4 linked regions of the Tamandua tetradactyla genome follow. The protein of the gene in region 2 purifies or fractionates together with the protein of the main gene of each other region. This does not show direct contact. Links are inferred from orthologs where the notes say so. Each region holds a gene or a part of one and is shown on either strand. Other genes may lie near its edges. The genes, in order: MED12L, MED4, GIT1 and POLR2B.

Region 1 (7,249 bases), on a different chromosome or scaffold from region 2:
ACCCTGAAATTCAAAATTATTATTTCAAGAATCGCAGCGGTCCCAATCCTGACTTGAGTGTGGCCCAAAATAATGAAATGCCAAAGAGGCCCACTTGGCATCGCAAGCCACCATCTCATAACTGGGGAGGTGTCACCAGTTATGACAACTGTGGAAAGATGTAGCAAGATATCAATTATGAGACGCTAGAGATCAGCCAACAAATGCTTCTGTCCCCACCAAACCTTTAAGGATTTGCTAACAACAATTCTTAAGTTATTACCCTTTGGTAAATGAGCACTCTTTGGAACTTTTCTCTACTCTTGGTCCTCAGCAATCCACATTATTCTGGTGCAGGGATGCATGGACAGAACTGAGTGGGGAAGAAAGCTGCAGAACTTCAAACTCACCTGTCCTCACGATGAGCCTCTCCTGGGAAACACCTGGGAAACCTCCCCAGCTTCAATCTGCACTACTCTACTGATGCTCAAACATATTTAATGTGTGAAACCTCTAAAAAGAGTTGTCCCTCCTTATTTTTCAGACATATTATTAATAAAACAGCTTAACCAGAACAAGCATTCTTCCTCTAATATCAAAATATACACATTTATCAAAGGGAAGTCTTAAGGACCCCTCCTCACCTTATTTGCAAGACCCTTTCCATTACATGGTGGCCCTGTAAACTTTTAATAGAGAAATTTAGATCTCCAAAAAGATAAGTTCTGAAATGTGGTCAGCTCCTGTTTAGATGAAGAGGGCAGAGAATACGTGGGCTGCAGCTGACAAATTCTGTAGTACAGCTGGGGAGCAGGTGATCTTAAAAAAAAAAAAAAAAGGCAAGTCCCTGGGCAAATCGTGTAGCCAAGGGTGATCATTATAACTGGAGAGTTGTTACATAAGTACTTGTTAACTCTTGACAAACACATACATGACTACAAAATGCCATGGTTACCCTCGCCACTGAAGCTAGTGGTACCTGGTGCAAGTGTCAAGGTTTCTCCAATTAATTTCATTCAAAGGAATAAGCAATCCTGGACTTATTCCCTTCCAAGGTAATCTCCCTCCTTTCACATACATAAAACAGCCTCAGCAATTAATCCAATCGCCTCTGGAGACGAAAATCAGTGTTTCTCCTAAATATTGATTTTTAAAGGGGAGAGGGGGTGCAAAAGTATATTCAGAAAGCTAAATTATTTATCACCCCGACAAGAACGACTTCCATTCCAAACTGGAAAATCTGAGACGAGAAAAGATGCTCCCGACCATCACCTCCCCCTCTCCACTTCTCGGCTCAACTGGCGCAAAACGCAAGACCTCGGCGTCGGATGCACTGCATTCCAACATTTTTCAAAAAGTTTACGAGGATTTACCGAAGCGGCTGGGGGGGAATAAAGCAGGCAGGAGCGGGGGAGAGCGAGTAGGAGGGTTTCAGCAATGAAAAACCCCGTGAAGCACCCAGCGGCGCGGTGCAAGGCCCGATAACCGGGAAGCGACCCGACACCGGGAAAGCGAGCGCCCCAGTGGAGCGCAGGGACTGACTGCCGCTGGGTCTCCGCCGCGGGGGACCCAGGCCGGCCCCCGCCTCCAGCCCCCCCTCCACGACCCCTCCCCCGTAGCGCCGACGATGCCCGCTGGGCCAACTTGGCCCCGGGTCAGCGCTGCAGAGCGCGGCCCCGGGTGCCGGGGAGGCCGACAACGTCCTCACCTCCTTCTGCTTGGGGTCCTGGGGATAGACGTCGGGCGGCCCAAGCCGGGGGCGCTTCAGCGGTCTCTGCTCATAGCTGAGAAGCCCGAAGGCGGCCATGATCTCTCATGTTAACCGGCGAAATGAATGAGAGTTGGAGCTGGAGCAGCCGCCTCTGAGCACCAGGGAGCAGCACTTTGCAGACAGACTCCCTCTCTCCCCCTCCTTGCTCGTTCACTCGCTGTGGCGCTGCAGGCAGGAATAAAGCAGGTTGGATGCTGCCGCTGCCCGACACGCAGACATGCACTGATGGGGGCAGGCTTCGGCGGGCACCTGGCTGCGCTCGGGCCCCGGGACGCGGCGCTCCGGCGGAGGCGGCGGAGGTACCAGGAGGTCTGCCTGGGTCCTCCGCGGCGCCCGCCTCCCGCCCCCGCCCCGTCCCTAGGGGGAGGAGCAGCTGATGGGAACGTGTGACTTTTTTCACCAATGGACCCAAACCCACGCCAGCTGGGCCCTGGGTGGGGGTGGGGGAGGGGCGCGGGGAGGAAAAAAAAACTTTTCTTGGCGACTAAGCGGGTGGCTCAAGTGCTCGCCCAAGGCAAAGGGGCCCGTCTCCCCAGGGAGGGGACGGCGGAGCGGCCCGCCCCCATCCCTCTTTCGCCTCAAGGACCCTTCCCCCGCCGCCGCGCGCCCTGCAGACCCCGCCACCTGGGCGCGGACCCGGCCGGTGCGGAGGGAGGGAGGCCTAGAGGGGTTGGAGGAGGGCTGCGGGCAGCTGAGGAGCGGCCGGTGCCTCCTAGACTCCCGCTGGGCTCCGGTGGCGCATCCGCGACTCGGGTCCCTTCCGCGGCTCCGGGCAGGCGCCGAGACGCGCTGCTGGTGGTCGCGGCGGCAGCGGCGGCTGGAGCCGGCCGTGCTCTCTGTGGCGCGGGGCCGACTTAACCCTTTGTTGACCCTCCAGAGGCGGGTTGGGGGCGGGTCGAGAGGGGCGGCAGCGAGCGCAGATCGGGGCTGACAGACTGCGGGCGTCTCGGGCTCCTCCAGCCCGCCGCCCTCCCCCCCGGCCGCAGCTCCTCCACCCCCACCCCCCAACAGTTTACCTGTTGGTCACTGGCTAGCGGGCAGGGGCCGGCGGCGGCGGGGGCACTCTGGCGGCCGCAGCCTCCATGATTCGGGTTAGGATTAGGGAACTCGATTTTATTTTATTTGTAAGGTATCAAGTCTAGTCCAGGCGAGCTCCGGGGACGCCACGAAGTTTGCCACTGTCTGGGGGCGGCGGACGACGCCGGCTCGCAGCCGCCGGCGTTCTCGCCCCCACAGCCCGGGAGCGCGAGCTTCCTAGTTGGCGGACGGCAGCGCGGCGGCCGCACTGAGCATGCCCAGCTCGGCTGCCGGACCGCGGAGGAGTTGGCTGCCAGCGCTGGGAGCGCGCTCCGATCCGCCTCTCCGGGTTTTCGCAGCCGCAGAGCGCGCAGCCTGCGGGCCCAAGCGCCGGGGATGGCCCTGGGGTGAAGCCGGGCAAGGGAGGGGGCGTCCCCAGCACCGCACTCCGGGCCGCAAGCTGCGCTCTCCGCCTCGACCTCTCCAGAGGTCGCTGTCCCCTTGGCCCCGGCTGGAAACCTCACCTGCGCCGGGCGCGTAGAGGGAGGGGCAGCGGATAGTCTAGGAGAGATCTCGATCGTCCCACCCACCCGCACTCCCCGCTTGTTTGGGGCGTGGGCGCCAGGATGCTGGGCCACCTGCCGCGAGCACTGCGAGGCCGCCGCGGGGGCGGGCCCAGCGTGTCCCGGGGGAGCCCGCGGGAGGCGCGCCCCGGAGGATGCACCCGCACTTGGCCGAGAAGAATGATGGCTGCCATTTATGGAGCCCTCTCTTCTTGCCGGGATTTTGACAGTCAAGCTCGATAAACTGCACAACTTACAGGATTTCCTGTACCCTTTTAATAGATGGAGAAATGAAGTCGGTTCAAGGGAGGTCAAGTGACTTGCTGAAAGCCTCGAAGCTAGTCGTGATTTGAATTTACCTCTGCCTGATCCCAAGTTTCTGATCTATTCTCCCCGGAGTTTCCTGGCGCGCAGGTGCCCGATTGTGTCGCGTTCATCACAACTTGAGGAATTTCTCGGACTCCCATTTCCCTCCCCTATAAAATGGTCCAGGCAGAATCTAAGCATTTGTGCGGCAGCTGCACATTGTAGATGCCCAGGAAATGTTGGATGTACCGAATATCTGCTTACCTCTGCTGACTTCAAACAAAGGGGAAAGAAGGAAGTAGATAAGGAGATGACACCCTGCTAGCAGCTAGTTCCTCCGTCCTGACCTTGAGTCCTAAACACTTGAACCTATACCTGAGGCTAAATCAGACCTGTAGTTTTGGGCTTCCTAACTCAATCTGAGCAGGAATTTATAGACACAATGAACCGCCATCAGGAAGCACTTCCTGAACACCCTACTCCAGGGGCTTCTGTTCCACTCATACTGTGAGTGCAGCATAATGGTTGGTTGAACTTGCCTTTATGTTATCAGTCTAGCTCTTGCTTGAAAGAAAGGACATATAATATAACCTTGTTAGGAAAATGATCAAATGTACCAAAGAGTAGAGGGCATAGTATAATGAACCCGCAAGAACTCATTATCCAGCCACAGCAGTTATCAAAGTTTTGCCACTCTCCCCAAGACCCAACACGCTGGCAGACTCACGGGTGAATGAATTTCGGTTACATCCCTGAGAGGTTTCCTAAACATCTGGTTACTAAACATCTGATCACTAACACTAAGTAAGGACTTGTTGTTACTAGCCCCACTCAAATCTGCTGTTTGTCAATCTAAGTTATGGTTACAGCTAATTCTCCCAAGGTCCTCCCCTATTTTGTCTTGGTTCCTCTATCTTCGTGACTGCACCTGTTTTATTTTTAAGACACATAAAGTCTGTGCTTAATATTTTGCACAGCCTCATTCCAAAAAAAAAGGAGTGAGAGGGCCAAAAGAAATGCATACAATACAATGGGATAAAAAAAATAGTAATGACTGAAATACCTACCTTGAAAATCCTCTTTCCTAAAGCACCACCTTCTCCCCTTTTCCCTTCCAAAACCCTTGAGGCTCTAACACCACACATGCTCTGTATTTACGAGTTACAAGTGGGAAGAAAGTGCTTGCACTAAAACAGGGTTCTGCATAATTCTGTGCCACACATGGCATTAAAACAAAGACGAGGGAAAGTGGGTTTCTGCCAAGGGAACAGGTGGGTACATCAAGCTATTTATTGAAAATCCCCCTCAGATTCCACAGTCACCAGAAGCTTGGAAGGGAAAGGTCTTGGAACCTTTGCCCCTGGTCCTATCAAATCAGTCTTGCCTCTCTTGACTTGAAGAAGAATGTACACAAGTCAGGTTATGTTATAACCCAGTGTCTGCTTCGTCACCTGTCAGCTATGATGGTGTCTCATTCAGGGGCATGCGTCCTAAGGTACCATATGACCGATTCTGTTTTCATGCTGTTGTTACAGGTCATCTGTATAATAGTCATCAGGCCTATTTCTGAAAGTGCCTTGTTGCTCACTGTACCCCCTCATTGGCCAGAAAAGTCTCAGTTCTCTCAGAGCACTGATTGGTGTGGGCCTCAGACCCAGGGACAGTAATTCTTGTTACTGGAGGTAGCGATAAGTAGGATGTTGTGAGGTCCTCAGAACAGCTTTAATTGATAAGCCTCCTCCAAAATCATTCTTTCACTACATAGATTTCCCATAGACATTTGGTTCCTTCCTTGCCCTTACATTTGGGATCTTTGCAGTCCACCTCTACCTACCAAACTCATTCTTTCTCCTTCCCCTTTGCCCCAGTTAGCACTTACCCCTATTTGCAGCATGGAAATCGCAGGTGATTCTTCTTGAGCTATCCATCTCCTATTCCTGATAGCGTTAAGATTCTGTATGGAAAAGTGGTAGGCTAGGGGCACATAGGACACAAGAAGGAAAGAGAGAGCACAAAAACTGGGACTCTATAACTTAGCAAAATCTAGAGTGGCCAAGGATGGTAATTAAATATACAAATATAAGAAAGCTTCTATATGAGAGAGAACAAATGAATGTCACCATTGCAAGGTGTTAAAAATGGGATGGTATATGGAAAAAATACAATTAATCCAAACTGAGGTCTATAGCTAACAGTAACATTGTAATATGCTTTCATTAATTGTAACAAAGGAAATAAACCAAAGCTAAATGCCAATAAAAGGAGGTTATGGTGGGGGGATATGGAATTCTTATTGTTGATGTTTCTCCTTTTTTTCTCTCTCTCTCTCTCCTCTTCTTTCTTAGGGGGAGAAATGGAAATACATAACTATGTGATAATACTGGGAGCCATTGATTGTACACTTAGGATGGATTGTTTGTTGGTGAATAAAACTGTGTAAAAAATAAACACAAGGTACAAGTACTGGAGAAAGTGTGGAGAGAGAGAGAGATACCTATTCACTGTTGGTGGAGAAGTAGAAAGGTGCAGCCCCTCTGGAGGGCAGTGTGGTGGCTCCACAGAAGTAGCTAAGTATAGAGTTGCCATATGATCCTGCAACCACATTATTAGGTATATACTCGGAAAACCTGAAAGCAGGGACAGGAGTAGACATTTGTACACTGGTATTAATGGTGGCATTATTCGTAGCTTGCAATGGATGGAGGTAGCCTAAGAATACATCGACTGGTGAAGAGAAGGACATACTGTGGGGTATACATACGACAGAATATGGAGTGGCGGCAGAAAGGAATGGAATCGTGAGGCATGCAATTAGGTAAAATAATTCTTGAGGATATTATGTTGAGTGAAATAAGACAAATGAAAGGACAAATATGGTATGGTCTCTAATATAAACTAACTATAACGAGCAAACCCTAAGAATTGAATCTGAGATCATAGGTTATCAGGGGATACAACTTGGGCAGAGAATGATTAAGGAGTACAGAAGGTTCAGTAAGGTTCATTGTAAAGGTTCCTAGAAAGTGAGATCGTATAGCAGTCACATCTGTTCCTGAGTTTTAGCTGTTATTTCTAAATTCTGAGATGCTATGCTCTTTGTATATAACCTGGTAGTTCCCTGGAATTGGGGTATCTGTGTGATACTAGAGACTCAGACATAGAGTTCTGCAGCTCTGATAGTCAGCATTACTCCATACCCCAACTGGTAAGCTGAAAAAGAGATCAAAAGACCTCAATTAAATATATTAAAGAAATGGACCTGGTTAGGATTAAGGTAAAGCAGAATACAGTGTAAAAAAATGATATTGTCTGTGTTTTAAAACCTCAACTTCCATGTGAGACCAAAGGAAGAGATGTCTATTTAGTCCAAAATTTAAATTTTCTGAAATACACTATCTAATTTAACCTGTCTAATCAGTTTATTTAAACATCATAATTACATGGAACCTAGAATAGGGAGTGAAATCTTGTTATTCTGTACAGGTTAAGGTAATACCCTGATGCATTCTAATGTATTTTGGGCAGAAAAAAAAATTGCGAAGTCCCCTTAAGGGACTGGAGAAAAGTGTGAAACTATTAAACTTCCCAACCTGGAGAACTCCTGATATTCTTT
Region 2 (7,483 bases):
CTTCAGCAGCCTAGGAAACTAAAAGAGAATCTAATTCAGGATTTTTACTCATTCATACTAGACTCTTTCCATCTAAATAAGGAAACTGGTAAGATATTTAATGGATGGCTCCTTTCTGATATTGATTCCTTACTGGAGTTTCTCCCTTCTCTCCCCTGCCAATCTTCTTGCTTCACCTGCAACACTTAGCTCTTATGAGTTTCTGCCTCTATCTCCTCAAAGAAGCATTGTCAACTGCTGTCTTGTTCACCTTTATAGCGCCAGCCTTCAGTGTGGTACCTGGTATAAAAACAGAGCTTAATAAACACTGTTGAAAGAATAAATGAATCTATCAAAAGAGGCCAGTGATGATGCCCACCTTTCCTTTGAGTACTGAGAGGTGGCAAGTTTCCAAGGAAGCCTAGAGAATTTCAGGGAAGAGATAAGACTTTACTTTTAGAAAGCCTGATTAGTTCTACATGACCTTTTCCACTGCAACCACACCACAAATATTTAAAGGCAATGAAAGGTTCAACCTAAACTGTTTTTCCTCTCAAGGCACAAGAATGTAGGGAGTCAATGTCAAATGCCACACTTCCTGCAAGGCTAATGACTTTAATAACATTGAGTGATTTTGGACAATGGGTGGTTTTTGTTGTGTTGTGACTTTGGAATGAGGAAGATAGGAGTATTCTGATGAAGATTTCACAGTGTAAGGAGGACAGGAAACTTCTACTGATGTAGTGCTGCCCTATTTGGATTTAACTGAGATGATCTGGTTTATTAAGTGCAGTTAAAATGGCACATTTTGAGACATTCTTGAGATTGATTTAAAAGTTGGTTTTCCTTCCCTAAAAGCCATCAGTTTGCTCAAACCCAACCACTGGTGGCATTTCCAGAGGTGTTTTATGGTTTCAGAAACCATAAATGGTGGTTCTTGGTATTAGAGCTTCATCCTAAATTGTGTAATATTTTTTACTAGGGATTAGACTTTCTGAGACCCAGACTTTGAGGTGGAGTCTAAAGGTTTTTTGTTTCTTGGAGAGGGAAGCTAATGAACGCAACAGCCTGCTTGTCTTCTCTCATTGCCCAGACTTCTGGGAGAGGAATGCCTGTGACTGATTCTCCATCCCACCCTTGGCAGGCTTGATCTTGAACATGAGCCTACAAATTTACTTAGGGAACTGGCTGTGAGAAAAGCATTCAGAACAGAAGAGGCTTGGATTCTTTACATAGACTAAAGTCTATGTTTCTTTAGTTGCATGGCTCCCAGGAAAATGGCTGCCACATGGCTGCAGAATATTCCATATTTGGTTGAGGAAGTTATAAATATTTGGAGTTTTTGAGAATCTTCAAGGAGCATGTGGAAAGGAAATATTGAGAATAAAGTTTTGCTGTTCAGAGGCAAAAATACAGATCATTATAATTTTTTTATTGTCTTTTATTCCTATTTGAGTCTGGCTTTTGGTGATCTCAGCACCACAGTCAACAATAAATCCAATGATATTTATTAGTGCCTACTTGTGTCAGTCATCATTCTAGACACTGGAAATGTGTCAGTAAGCCAAAGAGACAAAGTACTCTGCCCTCTTGGAGCTTACATATAACGGAAGACATAATTAGCAAAACCGTATCAACTTAACTGTATAGGATGTTAGAAGATGATAAGCATGATGGGAAAAAAGTAAAAAGGAATAAACATGATGGAATGTGGTAGTCAGACTGCAATAGTAAATAGGGTGGGCATCTTTGATGAAATAAGATTTGAGGAAGTCTTGGAGGAAGTGAGGAAGTTGACCATGTGGCCTTCTGGGGCCAATGGATTGTACTTCCATGTACATTTCCTATGAAAAAGGCTATTCACTTATGTAGCCACCTTAAATGCAGTTATCAAGTTCAAGAAATTTAGCGTTGATAAAAAGCTTACACTCTGCATGCCAATTTTTTCTTATGCCCCAGTAATGACCTTCTGAGCCTTTTTCCTCCATTCTTGGATCCTGTCCACATTTAGGATTGCATTTCATTTTCATTATCTAAACTTGAGCTTTAGGAGAATCACTCTGTCTGCAGCTGAGAACAGTTAGGAGACAACTTCAGCAAATGAGGTCGAGAGATGAGGAGGTATAGACCTGGTAGCAGTGGAAAGGGTGGAAAGCCAAGTCCTGGACACATTCTGAAGGCAGAACCATCTTGATCTCCTGAAGGATTGGACGTGGTGAATGGTTAATTAAAAAAAAAAAAAAAAAAAAAAGGAGAGGAGTCAAGGATAACTATAAGGTTATGAATCTTAATAGATTAAGAAAATGCTTAGCATCCAAAGTTACCATTAACTCAGTAAATGAAAGCTTTATGAAATAACATGTATTTTATTTATCACACCTAGAGCTGCATATTTTGCAAAAAAGTTCATTTGTAGAAGATGTTATTACTTCTCAGAAAGTTGGCAATGCTCAGAGTGCATATGAATTTGCAATAAATATGAGATGCTTTAGAGTTCACAATAAACATATAATCACCATAAACTGACCCTCGATGCATAGTAAATGTATAGTAAAGTAGGACCTATAATTGGTCATTTTTAACCATTTGGAACTCTCCCAGAATTTATGTGGGAACTTATATTAATAAGATCTCCCCTCTAGGGCTCACCAGTATCACAGACCAAAATTTTCCTTTCAGAGTTAAGTAAACAAAATCACCATACTACAAGAGTTTGGCACCTTTAACTTAACGCAAGAAATTACTTACTGGAGATTCTGGGAGGCATGCTTAGAATGCTACTGCAATTAAGAAAGCTTACATCTAATTTATTCTATTGCCTGAAGTTGGGGGATGGTCCGAACACAAAAGGTGGGAGTCCCTCTCCTGAACTCTCTAGGGAAGGAGCCATGCTACCAATTAACACAAATATTACAGTCTCTTAAACACTAAATATCTTTACACTGGGGAGATACAAAACCTGTTGAAAGCATTCATCAAGATCCAACTGTCTTCATTTGTTTCCACCTGTTCTAGTTTGCTAACTGCCAGAATGCAATATACCAGAAACAGAATGGCTTTTAAAGGGGGGAAATTTATTAGGTTGCCAGTTTACAGTTCTAAGGCTGTGAAAATGTCCCAATTAAAGCAAGTCTATAAAAATGTCCAAATTAAGGCACCAACAAGAGGTTACCTTCACTCAAGAAAGGCTGACGAAGTTCAGGGTTTCTCTCTCAACTGGAAAGGCCTATGGTGAACAGGGCGACATCTGCTAGCTTTCTCTCCAGGTTTCTTGTTTCAGAAGTTTCTCCTGGACATTTTCCTTCTTCATCTTCAAAGGTCTCTGGCTGCATGGGCTCTCGTGCTTCTCGTGGCTCTGAAGCTTTTTGCAAAATGTTTCCTCTTTTAAAGGAGTCTAGTAAACAAATCAAGACCCAGCTGGAATAGATGGGTAATACCCATCTAATCAAAGGGTAATACCCACAATTGGGTGTGTCATATCTCCATAGAAATAATCTAACCAAGATTCTAACCTACAGTGCTGAATAGGGATTAAAAGAAATGGCTGGTCCACAAGATGGATCAGGATTAAAACATGGCTTTTGTATGGTACACAATCCTTTCAAACTGGCACACATCCAAGGTCATGAACCAGCATTCTGGGGGATGATTTGGTTTCCCGTGTAGGATTCTCTAAGGCGTTATTATTTTTCCCGATAAGTAAATAAATTGGCATTCTGGTTTATACCGCAATTACTAGCGAGAGAATTTATTTAGCATCAATCCCCAAAGGAAGCATCACTTCTGGGTGCACAGTGCCAGTCAGGTTCAGTACTTCCAAAAGGACGGGCCATGATCCTGCAAATACTCCAGCCTTACTCTCAGAAGTCTTCAGGTGACATCTCTATGACAGGGACCTGGTATGGGGTCCTCACTCCCCAAACTGTTGCAGCTTTAAGCTTCCCTGGTAGGAAAATCCCCTTTTCCACAGTTGTCTCCAGGAGAGGTGAGCTACTTGAGACTTAAGTGGGCAAAAGTGGATTTTCGGCTTTGGCTTTGGGTTCTGATTGAGCTCACCGGATGTGTGATCCAATTCTTCATGTAAACGGTTCTCATTAACCACTACTGACATATTATACTAATTCATTCTACTCAACAGCCATCTCAAGAAATCCTTAGGAGCCCAGCCTCTGCGGAAACAGCCTCCTCGAAAGGCAAGGATGGAGGGTTAGAAGAGCATTATAGGCATGCAGATTTCACGAGTAAACTGACACAAGCAGTAGGCGATTATTTAATTTCCATTCAGCCAAAATCTCCAGCTCCCGATGGAAAAACCCTACGTACTCTCACTAAGGTACCGCTCTGGCCGGTCGGGTTTGGACCAAGGATCCCCTCTGGTCCAGCAGATGGCGCCAAAACCCACAGTGTACTTCCGGGCACCTTGGGGACGCTCTGGTCAGGACTCTCCCTCGCCTCGCCTCGGTGACCTTTCCTTCCGCCTCCCGAGCTCGTCATTTCCGACGCTCGCATGCGCCGGCTACTGGCGGTTGGGGAGGATGGCGGCCTCTTCGAGTTTGGAGAAGGAGAAGGATCGATTCGGAGGCGGCCCGGGAGCGGCCAGCGGAAACAGCACGCGGGAGCGGCTGTTTTCGGCGCTGGAAGATCTGGAGGTCTTGTCGAGGTAAAGCCGCTGGCCTGAAGGCCGGTGGAGTAGGGCCGGGAGGGTGGACCCCGGAGCTGGGCAACCCCGCGATGAGCTTCTTGGAGTTCGGCGGGAAGGGTCGTGCTCGGGCAACGCCGGCACGTACCCCCAACGACAGTGCACCAGTATCCGCGATGTGGCCTCCGCAACCCTCCCGGGATCCGAGGCCGCGCTTTTCCCCATCAGCGCATATGAATAATGACAATAACTCTGGAATCCCAAGGCTACGATAGCCATATTGGGTCTTGGACATCACCCGGTCCTCCAACACCCAACAAGCATTTATGGAACGCCCCCTGGGTGCCAGGCGATAGGAAGGCTGTAGTGAACGGGAGTCTGGTTACCATCCTGGAGGAGCTCAGTGTCAAGAGGGAGAGGCAAACGTGTGAACAGCGACTTCGATGCGGAGCTTGTTTTTATCAGAGGCGTGGCTGCGGGCTCCTGTAGCATAAGGACCAGGTCTGCTCCGATGCCTAGGTAGTCAGAGAAGACTCCCTGGAGAAAGGGCTGCTCAGGACGGAGTTCAGTAGGCTCACCGGGCGGCGGGATGATGGAAGAGCAAGTACAAAGGCGCGACTTGCTGGTGTAATTAATTCCAAGTTGTTTGGGGTGGATGTAGTGCAGCGTGTGGCCTAGAGGTAGGAGATTGTCTTTCTCCATGTTCTGTCACCCTTAATGGTACTGTAAAGTTGGAGCCTTCCGTAATCCAGTCACATTCACTTGGGTGTTAAATTGTATTGTTTCTATCTCCTGAAATGTTGCTCAGATTTGCTCTCATTTCCATCCCCGCTGTCACAACTATTTTTTAAGGTATCCTCCCGACAGCTTTACTTGCCTTCATGCTTCTGCACTTTATTCTGTATTGCCCAAGAGCAGAGTTATCGTTCTGAAATAGGCATCTCTTGTGACTTCTTATCTTAAAAACATTTGATGGGTTTGTTCCCATTGTCCGATGAGGTAAAGTCCAGGTTCCTTAGTTTAGTGTGCAAGTAGGTGTGTTGTAAGGTTCTTTATATAGATAGCCAGGAATAGCAGGACAAGTGATAACTAGAGATGTTTGAAAGAAGAGTTTATTAGTCCTTAAAAGTCCTGGAATAGAGAGGAGTGGCATGACTTGCAGGCTCACATGGGAGAACATGTCAGGAATGTATGCTCAACCAAGCAGGTGCGTAGCAAAGGTTACAGTGGACCTGAGACTGTGCATTTGTGATGTTATAGGGGCAGAGCTCTAGCGATTAGTCAAGAAAGAGCAGGGATTGGGGAGTTTGTATTTGACTTTTGCAGGGGTATGAACCCGGGGAAGAGAGGGAGAAGCTGTTTATCTTATATAAATAGGTGTCAGGACTGTTCACTGACAGTGTGTAAAGTCCCTATTTTCTTTTAATTCACTCTGTGCAGTCCTTCCCTATCTCCTCTCAATCCACTCTGTTATCCTCCTGTACCACCACATCAGTCTATACCCTTCACTCCAAGATTAGTACTCCCCACCCTCAAAAAGTACTACTTACTCAACTTCACTGCCATTCTCCATCTCCTACTTGGTGAATCATTCATTCGTCTTTCAGAATCCAGCTCGTGTCATCTTTTCTGTAGCCAACATTTGTTGATAGCTCTAGAATAAATTTTACGTATTGTGTTTTGAAATATACCTAACTAAATTGCTGTAAATTTAGTTCTTGCCATCATATTACTTACCAAGTTACTAGGTTAGCCTGATATTAAATATATAAGAAAAACCTCAAACACATGGACACCAGTATTTGTCCTTATGTAGCTTATGTGTTTAATTCAGTGTTTAGTTTGTATTAAACTCGAATACTGCCTGATGGCAAACAATGTTGGAATCTTCATTTGTGGTCAGTGGTGAATGAAAAACTCATAAGCACAGGCAGCTGTCTTAATGTTTTGCCTTGGTGTAAATGTTTACGCATTTTAATGTAAGTGCTATTTCTGTCTAGGTCTTTGCTGGTTTTGTAGATTGTGGTGGAGAACTTAACAGTTTCCTTGTTAATCCTCTTGAATGAAGACCCACGTTATTTCTTAGGAAAAGGACACTAACAAGATTGAGAGTTGGTAGTATAATGTTTCCAGTTAAATTATTTATGACTCAGAACTGTATAAGGTAACTGTTTTGGGGACAGCAAATAGAAGCTTCGTTTAGTTCACATTGTGCTCTTTTTCTTTTTAAGTTATTAAACTCTAAATCATCCCACAAATGCTCTTCATTTGAAAAACTCAGTTTTCTCAACCTCAGCACAGCTCTGTGTAGATGTAACTTTAAACTCATTGCTGGAGCAAACTAAGTCTCTTAAATACTTTGATACAAATGTTGTTCTGATACAAATCTGAATTCCATTTGATTCAGAACAACTAATACTTAGCTGGAAAATACTTCTTTTGCTTCTGTCTAAACCAGTTCTTCCAGTTTCTTGAATTCTGGATCTCATTCTGCTTGAACTATGGCTTTTGAGCTATTTCTTCTGTGAGCATTCTAACCTGAAAGTTGACTTCAAGCAACTGTGCTTAGGAATCTTGATGGTACTGTTAAGTTTGAAATTCATGGAGTTAAAGTGTCCTTTTTTTTAAAATCAGTTTTATGGTATGGATGGTACCAATGAACTTTTCTGTAAATATATTATCTTGGTAGTGGCACTCCTCCAGGAAATAGTTGCCGCTGCCTCTTGTTCTGAGTAGGTCTTCATCTTAGATCTTCAAATCTTTGCCTTTTCGGTTCATTCAATGAATGGGCTGTTACTTCTCACTGTTATGCTCTAGAGCCCTGTAAATTCTTTACTTTTCTGAGCTTTACTTGGTGTAACGTAA
Region 3 (7,768 bases), on a different chromosome or scaffold from region 2:
GTCCCTTACGAGCCTGGCCAAAAGGGTCCCCCTTTCTGCATTCCTCCTTCCTATCGGGGTCTCGCAGCTCCAGGGACTCTGCCCAGTCACGAGAAAATAAGAGAAAGCGCTCACCATAAGGATAGCAAGCCCTGGGTGGGGCTGGGATGCCTGGGAGTGTCACACAGCCTATTCCTTGATCCTTGACCTGTGACCCCCCTCCTCACCCAGGCCTTTCCCACCTCCGCATGGCCACACTCATGCGGGAGGTGTCCCTGTTCGGCAGAATGGGGAGGATTCTCCACCACATGGAATCCAGACCGATCCGGCAGCCCCTCCCCGCAGCCCTCACTGGCCCGGGGGAGGAGGGGCACAGTGTCCCCTGTCCCAATCTAGGAGGGTCCGGAACACTTGAGGGTCGCCAGTCCCGGCCGGAGGGGGCGGGGGGGGGGCCGCTCCCATCAACCTCTCGCGGTCAACAAACACAAAAGCCGCGGCCGCGAACAAAGAATCTCTAACTCGCCGGGGAGGCGGGACAGCCCGCGCCGCGCCCCCTCCCCACGCCGGGCGGGCGTGCCCAGCCGCGGGGTCCCCGCGGCGTCCCGACGACGCTCTTACCTGGCCGGCGCGGACCTCTTTCTCCAGCTCGCGGTGGCGGTTGTGCCACACGAGGTAGTGCAGCGGATACTTGCCCTCGGGCCCCTTTCTGGCGGAGGCGCTGGCGGGGATCATCGCCCGCTCCTCATGCCGGGGCCGCGGCGCCCGGCCGGGGAGGAGGGACGGCGCCGGAGCCGGGGCCCGGGGCCGTGGGGCGGGGGGGGCGGCGCTCCCTGCTTGCAGGGCTGCGGCTCGGGCATGTGCGAGCGGCGCCGGCGGGCGGGGGCGGCGCACCCGGCGCGGTGCGGGCGGCGGGCGTCCTCGCGAAGCGGTCGCGGCGGCGACGGGCGGCGCGGAGAGGCCCCCACCCGCCCGGGGAGGGAGCGGGCACTCGGCGGCGCGGCGCGGGCTCGCGCCTCGCCTCCCACTCCCCCGCACACAAAGACGCGGCTCGGCGGAGGGAGCAGGCGCCCGCACTGGGCGCGGGGGCGCACTGGGAGCCGGCCCCCGGACGCCGCTGCCGCCGCGCCAGGGACGCGGGCCCGCAGCCCTCCGCTCCCCACAGCTGCATAGCCCGGCCCTATGCCCGAGCGGTCGGCTTGGGCTGCGGGGCTGCGGGGAAAAGAGGAGGGGGACCCGGGTGCCCCGGGCAGAGCCTCTTCTAGTCCGGCCCCGCGGCATCATGGGGCTTGTAGTCCGCCTCGTGGAGCTGGAAATGGCAGGTGGTGGAAAGGGTCCAGCGCGCTCTTTCTGTTCCCTAGAAATGGTGAGGAAGGAGTCGGATCTGGCCGAAACGGAGGAGTGTCTTGATGCCAGGTGGCCTGGGAAGCATCCCCCACCCGTTTGCATTTTGCCCTTTGCTGCAGAATATGGGGGGGTACAGACCCATCTTGAGCATTGGGGGACAGCAGGGGGAGGGAATGTGGCCTTCAGGGTCCTAGGATCCTAGGGGACGTGAGGAGGGATCCAGACTCCCAAAAAGTGGCCGAAAGGGAAATCCCTAAGAAAGGTGTGGGGTATCAGTACCAAGAGTTATTGGAGCAGCCAGACGCCCGACATCTGAAGTATTCTGAGGAGTCCAACCTTTCCTCTTAGAATATTAAATATTTGACGGGGTGGCGGGGAGTGAAGGCTCACTGGGGCGAGGAGGACAGTCCCTTCCAATGCACTGTCCTTAAGTAGAACCAGAGTGGGTTTGAGCAGGGAAAGCAGCAGGTGGCAGCTCCGCAGCCTGGGTGGCCCCCTCAGGAGAGGAAGTGACTGATTTCAGAGACTGAATGACCCCTCGGCAGAGAGGCCCTGCCAGAAGGGACCTCGGAGAGGGTGTGGTAAGTGTGGAATTGATTGCCCTCCGGGGCTCCCTGTTGCTAGAGCTGGAAGGACCTAGAGGCCCAACCCAAGGAGGTTCAGCCCAAGAACTGTGCTGTGAGACAGAACTGAGTTCGAATTCAAACGCCTAAATATGTGACCATAGGTAAATTGCTTAAATTTTCTGCATTTCTGGAACCACTTACCTCTAAAATGTGACTCTGGATATTACGTCTTTAGGTGATCTCAGGATATTATGGTCCTCGAATCGGTGCCCCTCCCTCCCCCATCCAGGCGGACACCAGAAGCAGGTGGCCTTCTGGAGTCCACCTTAGAATAAGGCAGAAAGAAGGGATTCCACTCCCTCTTAGAACAACTATGGAAGAAGTGTTTGTGTGTGGGAGGTGCCAGCAAATGCTTGTAAACTCTCCGCTCCTCTCTCAGGCTTTTTTGTGTGGTCTTTCCTTCCTCCTCCACACCCTGCGGTGCCAGACCCCGGTGGGAAGGGATGAGGGAGGAGCGAACTGCCGCGCCCCTTTCTCTAGGCTGGGAGGAGCCAGCTAGCGTCTCCGGCCGCTGGGGACCGCTGCCCTCCTACACCACCAGAGGTCAGCAGAGTGTCGTGCCTGCGGCCGGAGATGGGGAGGGGGCTGCTGAGGGGGAGGGGCGGCTAGGAGTGGCCGGGTAGATTCTTGTACATTTTCTCATTAAATTATTTTTAGAATCTTGTGTGTGATTTCCTTTTAGTTTAGCAGTCCTTCATCCTGGAGTGGCAGCATCTCCACAGAGAAATCAAGTCCTTTTATTCCTAGCCCCAAATCCAGAAATTCGGCCGCGGAGGGGCCGGGGGCTTCTGTAACAAAGTTTGGGGAATGGGATCCGTGCCTGGGTCAATTCCAGGTAGTCCACCGGCCAACCTGGAGATGAGGCTGGAATAGGGGTGAATCATCCTCCTGCAAAGCCCGGGAGCACAGGGCGGTAGCCTGGGGTAGGGGTGGGTAGGGTTAGGGGTAGAGGGGCTCAGCCTGGAGCGGGGCAGCCTACCCCAGGCGGCCAGAGACACCAAACCGTCCTGAGCGCTGTGGCTGCCACGTGCTCGAGACGCTCCCACACAGCAGAGAAACAAAGACAGCCAAACGACCCGGCTGCCAGAAGCTGCCTTGACATTTAATAAATGAAATTCCAGAGCTGGGGGGGGGGTCGATTCGGGGTGAACGGACGGGCACCACTCGTGGGCTGCTCGCAGGATCCGGGCGACCACGCAGCACCTCCTATCACCATCAAAGCCGTGGACTCTGAGCCCGCGCGGTACGGGGCCGCAGGTGGTGCACCCCTCCTTTCCCCCAACCCCCGCCTGCGAGATATCTTTGCTGGCAGAAGTCCCGGCAGCTGAGCGGCTGGCTGCCTATAGGGGGAAGGGAGGCTTGCAAGAGATTCTTTTAAGGTGCGATTTTAAATATACCCTGTGGATCGCGATTTCAAGCAAACTTGTCAATCTAGGCTGCCGCAAAAAGCGATGGAGGCAGCTTTGCATATATTTCGGGTGGTGACTCATGAGAATTACTTGTCTCCCCAGGGAAGCAGCCTGCCCACCCACAAATCACTGCCGGCACTGGTGCCACTGGGAAAAATCGACCAACTCTGGCACCCCGGCCCAAGGAACACCCCCTCCACCTCCACCCCAGTTAATGAGAAGGACTCCCTGTTGCTTGGGGAATGTTCCCTTAACCTTGCGCCCCAGACCTGGCCCTCAAGCCTAGTCCTGAGCACCTCTGCCCTCTCTCCCCACACCTCTTGCCACTGGAGGGATGGGAGCTGGATGCAAGCTGGGCACAGTGTATGGGGGAGCATGGTCAGTGACGGGGTTCGCCCACGTGTGGCCTGCACTTTCACTCCATGGGCCTCGGCCTGTCTGCACAGCATCCGTGTGAAGTCCAGAAAGAGGCAATCACAAGAAACTGGCCCCATATGTTATATGCACGCTCTGGACTCACACCTCTAGTGGCCCAGAGACAAGGTGGATATACATAAAACAAATGACAAGTAGAGATTTCTGCACACCAGCCGGGTGGTCCCCTCCTCTGTCGGTCTTTAAGAACCACCCAGTTTCTTTCCTCTGAATGGAAGCATGGTGAGGCAAGATTTATTCTTTAGCCCGGAGGCAGCGGGTTACCTTGCGGACCCTCTCTGGCACCTGGGGGGTCTACACTGTGAGCAGGTGTGCGTACTCAGTAAGAGTGTGACCAAACACTCTGGCGTGGGCATCTGGTGGCCCAGAACGCATCCCTCATTCCCCCAAAAGAGAACTGTCACAGCCCTTTGACAGGGAGGAGGACCTCGGCCTCCATCTCCTTCCTTCTCTTTCCTGATTTCACCCAACCCCCGACTCACCATCCCCAGCTCTCAGCAGCCCCTGAGCCACCCCTAGCCCCAAAAGTGGAGGGGTTAGGGCTGTGAAGGTGACTTACACTGCCTCCGGGCTTGGGGAGCACCGGAGCAGAGACTCGGCCCCAGGCGACGCTGTGCGCCAGCGGCCGTGCCGCGATTGCGGCCCCTTTAAGCGCCCCCCCCCCACGCCCGCGCTCCCGGCTTCCTTTCTCCCGGAGGCGCGGCGGGCGGGGCGGGGATGCAGTTGCCCCTCCCCCGGTGGGCAGGGCCTGTGCTGCTTCCTGCCGGAGCGGCCCGGAGCCGCGTAGGGGGCGGAGAGAGCGAGCGGAGAGCGGCGGCGGGGCGGCGCGGGGCCGCGCGGGGCGGAGGGCGCCCGAGGGCGAGCGGGCAGGCGGGCGCCGCGGGTTCCGGGCCGGCCCCGGGGGCGGACGGTTGGCCAGGCGCGCTGAGCCTAGCCGGGGCCTTGCCGGAGCCGGGCCGGGCAGCAGGGGCCGCCGCCTCCCGGGCCCGCCGCCCGCGCCCCCCACGCTGGCCCAGAGGGCTGCGGCCGCTTCGCCGCTGAGGATGTCCCGGAAGGGGCCGCGAGCGGAGGTGTGTGCGGACTGCAGCGCTCCGGGTAAGCGCGGCCGGGCCGGGGGCGGGACCATGCACCGGGGCCGCCGCCGGGCAGGCGCCGGGGCCTGGCTGTAGCGCCGTGCGGGGCCGGAGGGCGGGGCGGGGTGCTGCGGCCTCCGGCCTCGGCTCCCACCAGGGCCACTGCGGAGCCGCGTCCTTGGCGGGAGGAGCGGCCTGGGGTCCCCGGGCCCCTCGCGTCCGTGGACTAGCGAGGAAGGGCATTCCCGGCGACTCCTCCCACCCTTCGGTCTGAGGGAGGCGAGCAGCTAGCTCCCCCACCCCCCCACCTCCATCTCAGTATCCAAACGGAAGCGCCAGCCTGGGATGGCAGGATGGCTGTGGCAGAGGCCGGAGGGTTTAGGAGGTGGGGGCGAGTGTGGTTTTGTCATCTCTGTTCCACCTCCGCGTCCTGCACCTGCTGCTTGTATGGTCTGTGCGCCTGCGGGGTTAGCGGAGGGCAAAGGGCAGAGAGCTGGGCAGATGCGTTGGGGCCTGGATACTGTTTTCTTGGAAGCAGATACCTACTCATACGATGTCCTGCCTCCAGTTCCTAAGGAATCTCCGGGGCCTGCTGGAGATTGGGAACAGATAACCTCAGCTTTTCCTGCTCTCCGGTGAGGCCTGCTTGGGAAAGCAGGCCTGACACTAGTGCCTGGGCCCGGACCCCTCCCGGTCCCCTGGCCCACCTAGTCCGAGCAGAATCAGGTAGGGGGGCAGTGGCAAGAGGTGCCCAGATTTCCTGGATTAAGCTGACTTCCTGGCCTGCCCCCTGGCAGTATATACTCTGGTGTTTCCCTTCCCTTCAGGGTCAGGTTCGGCTGGTGTGAATCCCCCTGGCCTGATGAGGAAGTGATGGACAGTGACCTGAGAGGCGCCTCCTGTCATGTGGGAGGACACTGCCTGTGAGGGGCTGCTAGCAGCTGGCTTGAGGAAGGAAGCTTGACCCTTGTCCATGTTCTCTTTAGAAAATGGGCAGGCTCTTTCTCGAGGAAATCCCTGGGCAGACTCAGGGGGGCAGGTCTGTGAACCCCTGGTGCTATGTGGGCACAATTAAGTGTGAGGGTGTAAAGTCCTGTTTTATGGGCCCATAGCGTTCAGCCATCCCTTGGACAGGCCCAGATTCCAACAGGTTCAGCCCCACAGATGCGCCGGTGGTTCTGGTGTGTGTGTTTGGGAATGGTGGGTGTGTTCCCGGCAGAGACATGGACACAGGGTGCTTTGTGGGTAGTTATGACATGCTTTGTAGGGCCCTGCAGGAGCTGGGAGGGGGGTGCTCTCTCCCCTTATTGGCTGGCAACCATGACCGTCTTTCCCCAACCACTGGCAGACCTGGGGATAGAAACTTGTCTTTTGTCTGTCCCAGGCTGTTCTGCATCTCTGCTGGGTGGGTATAGACTGGGCGGGAGGCCTGGAGACAGCAAGGAGGGCTGTGGGGTCTGAGCAAACACCCAGTAATGGAAGCTTGGATCTTAGTGTTGCTTTTGCTTCCAGCTTACTCTGACCCATGGCAAGACTTCCCTCACTCTGGGCCTTAGTTTCCACAACTGGAAGGCAAAGAAGTTGGCTTAGAAATGGTATTTGAGGGCCCTCCTCCCTTCTCCGAATCCGTGGTCCTAACTGAGCAGAGGGGCTTAGGGCAGCATCAGCATGGCAGCTGTACTGTATTGCACACTTGGCATGCCTGAGGCCTCTGGGTGCCCAGTGGGCTGGATGAGGTGGGTGCACGTCTGTTGTGTTGGAGTGCCCAGCTTCTATTCTATCCCCAGTCCTTGTCCAACACAGGGATTCGTGCCCTGGTTACCTTCTTTTCTTCTGATCCAGAATACAGGTCAGGAAGAGGCAGGCGATGAGACGGGTAAAGATGGCGAGGTGGGCAGGGTGTTGACAGAGCCTTTGTTGTCACTTCACCCCAGCACCTGTGTGGTTTCTGGCACACACAGGTGCTTCCCAAGTGCTTGGAGGCTTGTGTAGACCTCAGCTGGTGGCTTGGGGCTTCCCCGTCCCCCCCACCCTGTGACGCTGGCCCTGGCATGAGGGACCATTCTCAGTCAGGGTTCTGTATCAGCCCAGGGAAGAGGGGTGAGGATATCAATGTGGAATCCGCACCAGAAACCACCCCCTCACTATGATAGGGGTCCTGCACCATTAGTCTTGGAGATGGGGTTGTGGTCTTCTTGTGTTTGTTTAATTTGGGGGGATCTTGGAGGTGAAAAGTGAGGTACAGTGTAAGAGTCCAGACAGCGCAATGCTCCCAGGCCTGGGTACGCAGGGGACAAGTGTGAGTATGTGGTGAGGCAGTTGAACGTGGTATGACTGCTGGGCCACCTTGTCTGGTGCCATCTGTGTCCCTGCCTGCCCTTGGGAGTGCGAAAGAGGGGCAGGGATCTGGGACCCCCTCTCCTCTGCCCACCCTGCCACACACCCAGCCTTTAGAGGCTGGGGACAGCTCTCCAGGGTCTGCTTCTCAGCCCAGAGACCCTCCATCTCACACTTTCCGCTTTGGCAGCCCCAGGCACAGGAGTGAAGACCCCGGGGTGCCCCTGCTGTAGGTGCTGCCAGCCTTGAACATGTTACAAGAGAGCTTGCGGGTTCATTTGTCTCTTCATAACATGGCCGGAGGGGTGGGGTGAATGGTGGGCTTTTCTTTTTTAATCAAGGTGTAACGGATATGGTAAAGTGCCTTAAGCGTTCAGCCTGCAGAATTTTACCCGCCTTTAGACCTGTATAACCAGCACTCCCATCGAGACATTGCGCATTTCCAGCTCCCCAGTGCCTTGTGCCCCCCAAAAGGTAACCTCCCTTCTGGCCTATATCCCTATGGTGACTTTAACCTCTTTCCGGATGGTGGGCTTTGCCCTCTTGTCCAGCAGGTTACTTTGAC
Region 4 (6,963 bases), on a different chromosome or scaffold from region 2:
AGAGTGTAGCACACCCAAGGAATGAAAGAAGGTTAATGTAGCTAAATCACTGAACTGGAAGTTGGAAGTGGTAAGGAGGGTTGGTCATTATCAAGAGTTCTGAGGAACCAAACTAGCAGGGGTGTGGCATTATCAGGCTTTCATTTTGGAAAGGATATTATGCCATTATGGCCACAATGTGGAAAGTGGATAGGAGATGTAAGACTGGAGGTAGAGAAACCAGTCTGGGGAAGTGATCTAGGCAAGTGACGGTAGTGGTCTGAACCACAACTGTGACAGAGTGGATAGGAGAGAAATGACCAGATTTGACATACTTAACAGACAGAACCCTCAAGGAGAAAGAGTGGCTATGAATGTGAACAGAAGAGAATGAAAAGAAAAGTCTGCAAGGTAAGAAGAATCAAGCGAAAGTGACATGGCAAAAGGAGGAGTGAGTTTCCAGGACAAAGTCAACAACTATGCCAAATGCCACAGTGTTCAAGATGAAGTTTTAAAAATGTTCACATAACATTTATAATGTGACTGTGTGATTGTGAGAACCTTGTGTCTGATGCTCCTCATATCCAGGGTATGGATAGATGAGTAAAAAATATGGATTAAAAATAAATAAATAAATAATGGGGGGGACAAAGGGTAAAATAAATTGGGTAGATGGTAACACTAGTGGTCAATGAGAGGGGGGTGAGGGATGTTTGAGTGTTATCTTTTTTCTTTTCATTTCTTTTGCTGGGGTGATGCAGATGTTCAAAAAATGATCATGGTGATGAACATACATACAACTGTGAGATGATATTATGAGCCATTGATTGTACACCATGTATGGTATGTTTTTATGTCAAAGAATATATATTTGTATGTTAAGCTTTTACTGTAAAAATATATTTTTTTAAATGTTCATCTAATTTATCAACTGACAAGTCACTGTTTATCCTATTAAGAGCTGTTTTAATATAGTGGCATGAGCAGAATCCGACTGCAAAGGGTTGAGGAGAAAATGAACCACGTGAATTAGAAGCAACATGTATAGCCTATTCCTTCTAGAAGCTTAGCTATGAATGGAAGGAGAAAGGCAAAATTTTGGAAGAAAAAGGAAATGATGGAAAGAGGGCTTAAACGGTTTCCTGAGGATGAGAAAGCTCTGATATTTTCTCATAAAAAGAAGCTAGTGAAAAGAAATTCCTGAAAACTGATGAAGGGATATCTAATAAATATTTCAAAGGAATGGAATGTAGACTTGATGCCAGAGCAAAGACTTGACAGGATAAGCTTAATTTTTTTTAAAAAAGTTAAATTGCCACTGGGAAACTAAATTAGTACAACCACTATGTTCGTCTTTTTTTTTTTTGTATGCTGTGTAGTGGGGGTCACATTTCATTTTTTTTCCATGTGACTACCTCGTTATTGCAGTACCACTTCTAGAATTTTGGGGAGGCAGATGGGAGTACTCAGGTATGGCGGTCATTTGGCACCATCTATCAAAATGTTAAATATATGTATCATTTGATACATCAATTTCACATGTAGGAGTTTATCTTACAGACATACGTTACCTTACAGACTACAGACATACAAATGACATAAGTACAAGATTATTCATTACAACATCTTTGAACTAGAAAAGGACTGCCCATCAGCAAAAGACTTGAGTTATGGTACATCCACACAAAGTAAGCTGCTGTAGAGAAAAATAAAAGGAGAAAGCTTTCTATCTATTGATATTTAAATCTCCTAGCTGTATTAAGCAAGCAAACAAAAAAGTACAGAAAAGTGTGAGTGCTACTTTTTGCCTGTAAAAGGGAGAAAAATACAGAATCCCATTTATTTTTGCTTGGATATGTATAAGATACACTGGAAAGCGATAAGAATCTAAGAACATTTGTTAATCTATTGTGGACACATGATAAACAAGAATGAATCCTGACATTCAACATTTTTGTATTTTCTGACTTGCGAGCCATAAAATATATTACCTACTTAAAAATAAGATAAAAAACTTCTTTAAAAATTTATTCCCACTGAAACAGGAATTAAGAGAATAAAGGAATGTAATGCTAATAAATTTCTAGATAAAAGATGTAATGAGACAGAGAAGTCAGAGCAGTATTTTAAGCTTTTGCTTCTATTTTCTCCGAGAAGTAGCTAAAGGAACGAAAAAAGAGTGAGGGGTGGCCATGGGATGGTAAATTCGAAGAGAATGAAGTATGAAATAGCAGCTGTAGAAACGGAAGAGGAAGGTTTAAAAACACAACATGAAGATACACTAAGAAATATATAAGTGAAAAGAAAATAAGATATATTGAACCATCTTAGAACTGTGTCATCTTGTGGGAGAAGAAAGTTTAAAAGTAATTTTTTGAAGACAATTTAGACTTAAGAAAACATGAAGGTAGGCCAAACTAGATGCAATCTCTTCCCCTGCTGCATTCTTTGTCTCCGGTGTATTTTCAGGGCCTAGCTCAATGCCTGGCACAAAACCGATGCTCAAAATTTGAACTACGCAATAAACAGGACAACTGTGAACCCAAAAAATAAAAAAGGGGGCCCTTTGCTTCAGACCTCGTTAAAACAACGAACTTGTCTTAACGATTCCGTACGCTTTTGCAATACGGTAAGGAGACATCAGAATTAACAGCACAGATAATAGAGATAGGGGAAATATAAGAGCCAACTGTATGGAGACCATCAACGCTATTTCCCCGCATCTTCCATCCCACGCAGTATGTTCTTCGCTCCCGGCCTGCGGGGGTAGGGAAGCATGACTGAAACCACTCGTGCAGTGGGCGAGGGGAGGCCGCAAATCCTCTATCCACCCAATTCCCCAAATTTCCCTCCCTAAATGGGTCACCGTGAAGCGTATTTTGAGTGGTCACCTACCCTCATCCGCGTCATACATTTTGGCAACCGGTTCCCGAGCTCTTAACTCTAGAAATCTGAGAGAGAATGCAGCGCAGCAGCAGCAAACCAGAGACACAAACCATACGACTTCCGTCTGGGACGTTCCCAGAATACTCTGCGTTTTACACCTAAAACCCTCCCACGAGAAGTCAACTGTAGGATTGAGTCTGCGCAAATAGTAGCGTAAGGTTGTCCGGGGTTAAATTTGCGCATGCGCAAATTGTAAACCGATGGCGCCGTGGCTGATTGCTAGTTCTGACTGTAGTTTGCCTGTCGGATCCGGTCAGCAAAAGATATCTGGGAAGATTTTTGTTTTTTCACTGTTGTTACATTTTTTTGCTCCTGCAAAAAAACCAAAAAGATTTATTAATAAAAGATTTTAATTGTGACCCGTGAGTCCGCACTTCTATTTTTTTGCACTCCTGAAATCCAAAAATCACTAAGCTTTTCAAAAATGTGATTTACTAAGGGGAGAAAGGGGCTTGCCGGCGGAGGCGCACTGAAGAAGCTTAATGAACAAACCAAAGCGCTCATTATCATCTTCTGCCGGTCTAGGTTTCTATTTAGGGCCTTGGTGCAATTGCAGCAGAGCGCTCCAATCGCGAGAATTCACGGGATGAGACGTGGAAAGAAGAACCGGATGAGGCAGGTGACAAGTGACCACTCCCAGGCACCAGCAGGAGCTCGTCTCCCGGCCCCAGTGCGCGTGTGCGCACGTGTCTCCGCCTCTTTGCCGGAGGGCGGTGTTCCTCATGCTGCCCGCGTTTCTAACGCGCCGAGTTCTGTGGCCTTTACTGTGGGGATCGGCTCCCGTGGTAGTGCGCCATGGCCTCCCGGAGCCCCTTCTCGGGAGGGGATGTACGGCCGCTTCCTTCTTCCAGCACTTCTCCAACCTGGGACGTGAGTTTCCTCGTGGCCCGACGGCGACTCGGGACTATGGTGGAAGTCCCGACTTGGAGGAGCGTTTTCTGTTCCCCGAGTACATCCTGGAGTCAAAGCCCGCACCGACCTCCGAAGAGCTGCTGGAGGAGCTACGGCAGCGGCAGGAGGAGGAGGAGCGGCAGAGGCAACGGCGGCGGGAGCAGCGGCAGCTGCAGAAGGTACGGGCCAGATGTCGGGAGCACCAGATAATGGGGCATCCAGACCCGGCGGTGCCGTCCAGCGGCGTGAGCTGCTCGGGCTGTGGAGCGGAGTTACATTGCCAGGATCCCAGCGTGCCTGGCTACCTGCCCAGCGAGAAGTTCCTCAGTGCAGCGGCGCAGGAGGACGGCGGGCTAGCGCGGACGGTGTGCCAGCGCTGCTGGCTACTGGTGCACCACCAGCGCGCCCTGCGCGTGCAGGTGAGCCGCGAGCAGTACCTGGAGCTGGTGAGCGCCGCACTGCGGCGACCCGGGCCCTCCTTGGTGCTCTACATGGTAGATCTGCTGGACCTGCCCGATGCCCTGCTGCCCGACCTGCCTGCGATGGTGGGCCCCAAGCAGCTGATCGTGCTGGGGAACAAGGTGGACCTGCTGCCCCAAGACACCCCGGGCTACCGTCGTCGGCTCCGCGATCGTCTTTGGGATGACTGTGTCCGCGCCGGGCTCCGGCCATCCCCTAGCCACCAGGGGCCACAGGACCCGGGCAGAAATGGGTCTCGGGAGCTGGCGGAGAAACGGAATCCGCCGTCCCAGCACCGTACGGTGCTCAGGGACGTGCGGCTGATCAGCGCCAAGACCGGTTACGGGGTGGAAGAGTTGATCACCGCGCTTCAGCGCTCTTGGCGCTACCGCGGCGATGTCTACCTGGTCGGCGGCACCAACGCCGGCAAGTCCACTCTCTTCAACACACTCCTGGAGTCGGACTACTGCACCGCCAAGGGCGCGGAGGCCATCGACAGAGCTACCATCTCCCCATGGCCAGGTGAGCCTTAAGAGCCTCGGCCTTTTTCGCTCTCTGAGAAGACGGATGTCTGGTGGTGGCCCGAGGCTCCGATTACATCTCTGTATAATGTCCACCAGGGGGTGCCTGGAATCTTTCCTTTTAAAATTCTCTCCTTAGGACACTAGTCTCTTTTCTGAGTCAGTTTAGTGCTTGGAGATACTATATATTTTTTTACTAATTTTCTAGTGGAAATACTTATGGAGCACTTCTTTGTGTCAGTCGCTGTTCTAGGAAATGGCGATACGCCAGGAAACGTCCTACCCTCTTGGACGTTTCCCTTATAGCCTTCTAGTTTTATGTTCCTCCCAAAAGTCGTGCTTCCTTTTACTCCATGAACTTCCTTTCACTCTGCAATCCTACTCCCCACGTCTTGAGTTTATTCATGAGAAAGTATGCTATGCATGTTTAACATTTGAGTAATTCACTAATGCAATATATGTGGCTTTGTTGAGAAGAAATGTCTACTTTGTCACAGAAGTTTCTGTAAATGGCTCCTTCTGTGACCATGTTTGTATTTAACAGTTGACTCTTTAGTGTTACTAGCTGCCCCGTTTATTCCTTTGAAATCAGTTTAATTTTGTTTGGTAAACTGTTTTTCTTCCCTATCTTGCTTACACTTTAGTTGCATTATACATAGACGTGCTTTTGTACTGAATGGTAGCATGGTGAAAATGGAAAAAATTTAAGCCTACAGGAACTAGAATTCAAATCCTAGTCTAGGCTATGATCCAGTCTCTGAGACTGTTTCCTCATCTCTAAAATGAAAATAATTTTATAGAGGGTCATATCAAGGGTTGATTAAGATAGAACACAGTGTAGCTCCTCAAAACTGATAGTTTTCCTCCTTTTACTCCCTTTTTTGGTACAATGTTTATAAAAACATACTTATTCTTTGGTATTTCAGGTACTACATTAAACCTTCTTAGGTTTCCTATTTGCAACCCAACTCCTTACAGAATGTTTGAAAGGCACAAGAGGCTTAAAAAAGATGCGGCTGAATCTGAAGAAGCTCTTACTAAGCAAGAACAAAGTCAACTTAATATCTTGAAAAAGCATGGTTATATAGTAGGTAAGCATCTTCCACAGGAAAACGTAATGGTTCTATGCCAAAATTCTTTGTTGAGCAACCTGAAATACAGCTGTCTGGTCATTAGAACTTAGAGCCCTTTTAAAGCATGGCTACTTTTTGGAAGTTCAGTAATCTGTGAAAATGGAGATTGTGATACTTAGAGAAGTCCAGGAAAGGAAGCATGCAATAACTGTCCACCTAGACAATGTCAGTGGTAGAAGCATTTTCCCCAAGCTATTCCCTCTGCCAGGTAGACCGTTACAGATAGTAAAGACTGTTCATTTCATGCAGCAGCTTAAAAACTGAGCTGTCCCCTTTCCTTGGTATCCCTTTTCAGCCTTCCTTTATTAAAAAGTTTGATTTCCAACCTTCCCCCACCCCCCATGTGTGCCCAGCCAGACACACACTTGATCATTGCAACAGTGTAACTCTCATGCTTTGTTACAAAGATAGCATTGTTTCCATTTGCTGTAGTTAGTAATTTATTTGAAACAAGCAAAAAACTGTCTGGAGTCAAAAGTTTTAAAGGAGCACCTGATAACTTATTCCAGGAAGAGTTGGAAAAACATTCCTATACTCAAAAGAAAAGACGGATGAAGCTGCCTTTGAGTTTGATGCTGATTCACTTGCCGTTGACATGGAAAATGAACCTGTTCTGGTTGCAGAAAAATCCACCAAAAAAGTAGAATTGACCCCACAAGATGTGAAAGATTCCCACTGGTTTTATGATACTCCTGGAATTACAAAGGAAAATTGTGTATGTATTGGTTTGTTTTAGAAATATTAACTGTCATTGTGTAAGTACTGTATTAATTGGCAGAAACAAGAAAAGGGACTATACTTTCATTTTAGACTCAGTTCTGATTCATTCATAGAAGCAATTCACAGATGACTCCATATACCTTCTAGTACTGCATTATATTTGGTAGACTTCACTGCTGACAACCTATTTGCATTATCATTGTGGGTGTTAATGTTGGTTAAGAGACATTTACAGAATCCTAGACCTTTGAGGTTGGAAGGAAATCTCAGACATTACTGCTGCAGTTCAACTACTTATTCCATGCTTGAATTCC

The links.
Region 1: the proteins of MED4 (region 2) and MED12L purify together in Homo sapiens (affinity purification with mass spectrometry; 3 studies listed by BioGRID and IntAct, with this or other methods). This does not show direct contact. The link is inferred for Tamandua tetradactyla from reciprocal best matches to the Homo sapiens genes MED4 and MED12L.
Region 3: the proteins of MED4 (region 2) and GIT1 purify together in Homo sapiens (affinity purification with mass spectrometry; 3 studies listed by BioGRID and IntAct, with this or other methods). This does not show direct contact. The link is inferred for Tamandua tetradactyla from reciprocal best matches to the Homo sapiens genes MED4 and GIT1.
Region 4: the proteins of MED4 (region 2) and POLR2B purify together in Homo sapiens (affinity purification with mass spectrometry; 3 studies listed by BioGRID and IntAct, with this or other methods). This does not show direct contact. The link is inferred for Tamandua tetradactyla from reciprocal best matches to the Homo sapiens genes MED4 and POLR2B.

Annotation. Positions count from the first base shown.
Region 1 is NC_135331.1:44,633,725-44,640,973, reverse strand, and holds the start of MED12L (mediator of RNA polymerase II transcription subunit 12-like protein), read right to left. Parts: upstream 3,003-7,249; 5' UTR 2,767-3,002; intron 1,916-2,766; 5' UTR 1,787-1,915; coding exon 1,688-1,786; intron 1-1,687. UniProt on the Homo sapiens protein: May be a component of the Mediator complex, a coactivator involved in the regulated transcription of nearly all RNA polymerase II-dependent genes.
Region 2 is NC_135330.1:110,209,651-110,217,133, forward strand, and holds the start of MED4 (mediator of RNA polymerase II transcription subunit 4), read left to right. Parts: upstream 1-4,474; 5' UTR 4,475-4,514; coding exon 4,515-4,639; intron 4,640-4,668; exon of another isoform or gene 4,669-5,119; intron 5,120-5,133; exon of another isoform or gene 5,134-5,298; intron 5,299-7,483. UniProt on the Homo sapiens protein: Component of the Mediator complex, a coactivator involved in the regulated transcription of nearly all RNA polymerase II-dependent genes.
Region 3 is NC_135332.1:52,835,445-52,843,212, reverse strand, and holds the start of GIT1 (ARF GTPase-activating protein GIT1), read left to right. Parts: upstream 1-4,758; 5' UTR 4,759-4,836; coding exon 4,837-4,888; intron 4,889-7,768. UniProt on the Homo sapiens protein: GTPase-activating protein for ADP ribosylation factor family members, including ARF1.
Region 4 is NC_135345.1:57,601,052-57,608,014, reverse strand, and holds the start of POLR2B (DNA-directed RNA polymerase II subunit RPB2), read right to left. Parts: upstream 3,015-6,963; 5' UTR 2,894-3,014; coding exon 2,875-2,893; intron 1-2,874. Other genes in the region: NOA1 (nitric oxide-associated protein 1), read left to right, coding at 3,648-4,797, 5,723-5,887, 6,439-6,644. UniProt on the Homo sapiens protein: Catalytic core component of RNA polymerase II (Pol II), a DNA-dependent RNA polymerase which synthesizes mRNA precursors and many functional non-coding RNAs using the four ribonucleoside triphosphates as substrates.